2 linked regions of the Kluyveromyces lactis genome follow. The protein of the gene in region 2 purifies or fractionates together with the protein of the main gene of each other region. This does not show direct contact. Links are inferred from orthologs where the notes say so. Each region holds a gene or a part of one and is shown on either strand. Other genes may lie near its edges. The genes, in order: SEN34 and SEN2.

Region 1 (3,062 bases), on a different chromosome or scaffold from region 2:
AGTTTTGAACAATAAAAATCCCTCAAAATGTTGAGGGGACAGGACAGACGGAGGTTTTGAACAGTGATTCGGATTTCCCAGTGTGTGTGTTTTGGCCTCTCCTTATACCCGCCCGCTGGGATAATAGGTTAGTCAATGGCTGGTCGATGGACGACCCGTTGCCGGCCGTTCAGCTCTAACTCCTGTGAGCTAGGTGATCTTGGTAGGAAAAAAAAAAAAAAAGAAAGAAACTCGTCTGTATTGGAAAAAGTCATGGACAAAACCGGAGTCGAACCGATGACCTCTTCCTTGCAAGGGAAGCGCGCTACCAACTGCGCCATTTGCCCAAATTTTCTGATTTTCCAGTTTCTGATGGAGACCTAGTTCGATGGTGTTGCCCTGTCTTGCTATGCAAATGGCAAAAACAAAAAAGATAACGACAACAGCAGGACTCGAACCTGCGCGGGCAGAGCCCAAAAGATTTCTAATCTTTCGCCTTAACCGCTCGGCCATGTTGCCTAGATAACTTGAAAATTTCAATCTAACATAGGACCACCATCGGCCTTGAATGTCATGTCATGTCTGGTTCGTTCCCCTCACTGCTTTAATCCCTTTCTCATTTTTTTCATCTCTTTCTCCTCTTGGCCAAACTTTATCTCTCAATTTTCTGTTTAAGGCTGGAATGCCCATATTATTGCATGAAACGTTAAATAAAATACATGCACAACTTAAGTAAAGGACATACGAAACTTAAATAAAGTATACTTCCTCAGCCAAACCCTGCCCATTCTACAGAGTAAAATTCAGCATCCCCATTTTCATTTATACCGGGCAGTACCCACGTTTTCTTGACGCTCGTTCCCAAACGTGCACCGTTAATCATGTTCAACAAATCTATCTCTTCATCTTTGCTTCTTGCATCCTGCACAGTAAGGTGCGAATGGTATCGGAGAGGGTCCCCCGGGTACGCAACGTATCGTCCGCCGAACCTGGCTCCTGGTGACATGAAATACCCCATTTCTCTCAATTTTTTGTAAACCTTATAGTTTAGCCTCAATTTCTCGTTTTGTCTCAAGATTTGTTCGCATATCTTTCGTTGATCTATTGTTTGATCGTTGAGGCTTGGTTCAATGACAGCTGAAGTATCCTTGGTCTCGATGAAGATAGACTGTTTCATCAATTGTTCATCCCTTTCGTTAATTACGTCACTCGGTACTGCAACATCGCTTGCGCCTCGAAGGGTCTTCATTTTCCGCAAGAAATTAGCCCGTTTCCATTCTAACTGTTGCGCTACATCGTTTGCTCTGTCGTCTTTGAATTTTTGTAACTTTTCGCCATCTAAACCCTTTAGAGACTTTATCAAGTCTTGGCCCATTACATGCCTAAACACTGCATGTCCAACTTCAACAAGCCACAAGGCCTCTTCCATCATCAATCGAAGCGGGACTCCAAGGAACACGTTCTGCTGCGGAGCACCTCCCAAGGTACCAATTAAAACACCAGCCACGCCATGTTCTCTTATCTTGGCAATATCGTCGACATCATACAGTACAGGGACCACCGATGATGCATCATCACCATCACCGTCTTCCAAATTGGATCCTACCAAATAAATCTTGGCCTTCTCACTCATTGCTTTTGTAAAACTCTCTCTGTATTCCATGTGACACTGCTACGATTTCCCGCTTATCTTTTAAATAGGTACCGAAGGTTTACAGTTGGTCCATGAGCGATGAGCTGCCTGGCTGTTTGCTTGAATGCATGTATGTATACTGTTCAAACCAAATGCTGTCTACTGGCCTTAATTATTCCGATGAGCGAAAAAAAGAAAAAAGTTGATGCGATTTTTAACAAAGCTAGACCGGAAAGGGCGATTCACAAGCGACACAGTAGCAACTAGCAAGTGACATAGTCCGGTGAAACTGTAAATCAATTGTAGAACACATAGGCTACAGACCAGACAAAAAAACTTCCGTCAGCTACATGGAAAATGATACTGTGCAGACTCTTTTGATGTGGCTTAGCAAGATAGCTTGCGATACCGTGGGTACGTATACCACATTCGGCTGGCTTCTTCCGCCTCTCTCACTTCCTTTGCGGGGGGTAATCTCGTTATATCCAGAATCAGATATCAAACACTAAGCCTAGCCTCAATTCCAATTGAGTAAGGGTCCATTCTCTTTTTTTTTCCCCTTCATTACCACTGTGGAATCATTAAAGTAAGCGAGATGGCCAGCCACCCTGTGGGAAATTGACACTCTAGAACCATTTATCCAATATCCATATGCAGGGCACTATCACACCAATTTTTCATCATCCATATATTCCCAGGCTGGAAAAATCAGCTGCCAATTACTACATCTGATTAAGTAGGTACCGTAGTTGCATATTCTGTATGATTACGAAATGTATATAGACTACTAAGCCCCGAAAGTTTGTAACAGGAAAAAAAACAAAAAAACAGAAAACCGAAAGATCAAGACTAATAGAATGCATCTTTTCAAGGCTGCGACCCTTCCTCAACTTTATCCTTATCCTAATTCATCGTAATCATAAGCTTTCCGGACATTTTTATGCTTTTATCGTTTTATGTTTGCTGAATGGGTTTGTCATATATATAGATTAACTTGAATCATTAATTCCACGCATTAAAGGCTTTCATTGGCACTGGAAAACTAACAAAAGAAGAAATCGTTATTAAGAAAGGAAAAAGAACAAGAATTGGCTTACAGAATACATTCCTTGGCGTGCTAATTGTTGATTTGATTATAATATTCAGAAGAAAGTTCTCACTTTTTTGTGTTAAAGTTTTTAGAAAGGGCAATTCATATTAACCCTGTGGTGCTCTCTCCTACCCTGCTAACTGACAGGTTATTTCTTTAGCGACTTGAGTATGAGCTCTTTGAATGAAGGCGTTGATGAAGCACACAGCCCTTCTCTTACCGGTAGGGAAAGTTTTGTTGGGTTACAGAGTAAGAAAGATGAGAATAAAACTGTAGAGACTGAAGAGCAAACTAGACCTCTCAACAAAGGGGTTACATCCACCTCAATAGGTGCCGTTAAACCTTTAAAACATCACGACA
Region 2 (3,093 bases):
CTAAACACTGCTATCTGATATTTCATATTGCAGTATTACGAAATACGAAGATCTTAACTTACTATGAAACTACTGGGAACAATAATTGGTTCAGCATTCTTTTTACAAGCTGTGTCTGGATTCTTTTTCGATTCAGGTCACCAGAATAGACAGCAACAGCAGCAACAGCAGCAACAGCGGGATGTTGGCTCTTACCAGCAAATGTTCCTAGATAATGACTGTCCGCATTATTTATGTCCACAGACATTGGATTGTGTGAGACAGAAGTCGGATTGTGCGTGTCCGTTCCCTAATTCACAATTGAAATGCAATCTACCCAACGGTCAGGTAATTTGCATCTCAAAGCCAGCAACACATGATCCAACACTGGTAGAGATTTATGATGATCCAGTAATGGGACCAGCTCAACGTACTGAGGGATTCAGAGATTGTGGATGGATCTTGGATGTATATGACGGCAAGATTTAGAATGAGAGATCTTTCTTTCTGTATCGGCCATAATACTATTACAAACATAAACTGATAATATATATAGAGACATATAATACAGACCATTACTGTATTTAATGCAATTAACTAGCATGGGTTTATTTTTACTCGTTTGAGTTCTTCGCGGAAAAGATCGTTACCGGTTCGGAACAGTTAATCTCTGTTCTTACCTGCAACCCATCTTTTGTATAACAATTCATGGATTTTAAAGTTTCTGAAAAGCTCATCGTACTTTGATTGCTTCCAAAGTTCCATTAAGTCATCTTCAGGTATGAGTTGTTCAACGTAGCATAATACAAACTGTTTCTTGGCTCCGCCCACGACTCTGGCAGCGCTTGAATACCAAGTGTAATCATTTGACTGGTTTGCATCCAAAACCATGATTCCATACTCCGCATGTTGGAAAGGGGGTCCTCTTCTGTATAATAAGTATTCGCAACCAAATTTTATCCCCGATCGTACACACCACCCTTTGGACCTGTAATGATGGTACGCGACATATTGATGAATTAATTTCTTGATGTCTTGGAAACTTTTCGGTTCCAGTACCAACGAAACCATTAATTGTTGCAATGTGATCTTCAATACCGGCACTGCATAAGAGAGGAAAATAGCCTCGACGGGCATCAATTGCAAGCTTTCTAGTTGAATCACTGATTTGCCTTCTATTAATCTTAAATCTTCGTCACGTATTTGCATCGAGTCCTTTTCAAAAGCTAATTCTTTATCTCTTTGATTCTTTAAGAATAACCTTTCTTGTTCAATGAATTGTTCGTCTACAATCCCCTTTTGTCTCATTTCTAACTTCTTGGCTTCAAATTCAGCTCTCAGTTTCTTGAATTCGAGCCGCTGCCTTCTTCTAACGTCTGTAACATGCTCTAAGTTGATTCGATCAGCATCATTTAGTTGCAATCGAGACATTGTTCTTGCCTGCCAGTTGGGTTCACTCCGAGATAGTTGACCAGTACCAAAGAATCCGTGTTCCCATAAATACTTCATCTGCCATTGATCACATACCAAAATTTGACCTAATTGGTTGATCTTGACGTCAATAATTCTGGTTTCACTCCATCTCATCGCCCAATCTAATATCCAGGAAAATGCCTGAAAGGGATGTTTCCATACAGACGGTACAGGCTGCGCCTCTATAGGCAACGCATGTTTGTATTGCAGCTGATTTCTATGAGATCGCTTCGACATTGTAAGTACTTGCCTCCCGCGGTCTTCATATATAGTTACTAAACATGCAAGAGAGATTAGCATTGGACAAAATATGGTTTTATAACTGATCTCTAATTCAAAAGAATTAAGTTTCAATAACTAAAAACTCGAATAAGCAGTACAGAGTTAAGGAGTGATATTAGGTTTACATATTTTACTAAGAGGGGTACGAATTAGAGTAGAGAAAGGACAAATCAGATACCGTTGTAGTCTATTGAGAAATCGTGTGCTCACATTGAAATAAATTCTTCGAGACATCTAAAATGGTTTATCATCATATATAAAGAAAAAGCCCTTCAAAAAAGAAAAATATCCACAGAGGTAACATATCTTACCGCTCACTCCATCTGGAATCTATGAACAGTAAGTATGCTGGCTGTATGAATCAACTACAGTTGGTTTATTTTTTGGTTGATCAGAATACTTATATATGTGGCATCAAACATATCTTTTCTCTTCCAAGCTCATCGCTTTTGGCCTTTTATACTGAAAAATGAAAATTTTCACGTTTGTGAAATGTCAGTATCACATACAACGGACAATTTCTATACATTTCGGGCTCTAAGGAGGCAGAGATTCTATGTGTTGAGCCGGGTCTGGGTTAGGGCTTTAAATAGTTTAGTACCATGAAATATTGGTATATTTTTATTTATTGTTGATATTGTTATTACGGTATCTAGTTAAAGATCTATTGTACAGTTTTATACTTTTTTTTAGGTTTTTGACGTGATGTTGTCCATCTACATGGATGCCATCTCTGAGAAATACTGTCTTAAGATAATGGATAACATTTCTGGGAGTTCGGTAATGTCATGAACGACAACGTAGAATTCGAATGGGAATGTGTCTAGGTATTTCTGGACTGATAGTTTCATGTTGCCGAATTGATCTGGAATATAGTTCACTTGAGACATATCCATGATTGATTCGTTAGAGTTAATACCATCGATGACAACGAAAACGAGCATGATTTTATTTTCCCTTGCTCTGCGAACCAATCTTACTAATGTTTCGTGGTCTTCACAAACACCATCGGAGATGATAATTTCCAATTGCCATAGGTCGTTACTCTCCATAGCTCTTGCTCTTTCAAAGATCTTGATACTTTCAGCTACCAATTTCTTGACATCGGTTCTTGTTTCTTGGAAATCAAACCATTGGAAAGTCTGAGCACCAGTTTGGGTATTGAAAGGTTGGTTGAATGGGTGAACTTCTCTTACAGTTTCACCGAATTTCACGATAGATAAACCACCGGATTCAAGTTGAGTTAAAGCCTTAGAGACTAAACAGATACTTTGGAAAGCCAAATTGACAGATTTTGATTCGCTCATAGATTTGGAATCGTCTACTGCAATCATGATTTGATATTGACGCTTACTTGGT

Evidence for each region.
Region 1: the proteins of SEN2 (region 2) and SEN34 purify together in Saccharomyces cerevisiae (affinity purification with western blotting; 4 studies listed by BioGRID, with this or other methods). This does not show direct contact. The link is inferred for Kluyveromyces lactis from reciprocal best matches to the Saccharomyces cerevisiae genes SEN2 and SEN34.

The regions. Positions count from the first base shown.
Region 1 is NC_006037.1:783,179-786,240, reverse strand, and holds SEN34 (tRNA splicing endonuclease subunit SEN34), read right to left. Parts: upstream 1,643-3,062; coding exon 749-1,642; downstream 1-748. Other genes in the region: calcium-transporting ATPase PMC1, read left to right, coding at 2,873-3,062. UniProt on the Saccharomyces cerevisiae protein: Constitutes one of the two catalytic subunit of the tRNA-splicing endonuclease complex, a complex responsible for identification and cleavage of the splice sites in pre-tRNA. It cleaves pre-tRNA at the 5'- and 3'-splice sites to release the intron.
Region 2 is NC_006042.1:1,837,232-1,840,324, forward strand, and holds SEN2 (tRNA splicing endonuclease subunit SEN2), read right to left. Parts: upstream 1,753-3,093; coding exon 643-1,752; downstream 1-642. Other genes in the region: LCL2 (Lcl2p), read left to right, coding at 64-468; REA1 (AAA family ATPase midasin), read right to left, coding at 2,451-3,093. UniProt on the Saccharomyces cerevisiae protein: Constitutes one of the two catalytic subunit of the tRNA-splicing endonuclease complex, a complex responsible for identification and cleavage of the splice sites in pre-tRNA. It cleaves pre-tRNA at the 5'- and 3'-splice sites to release the intron.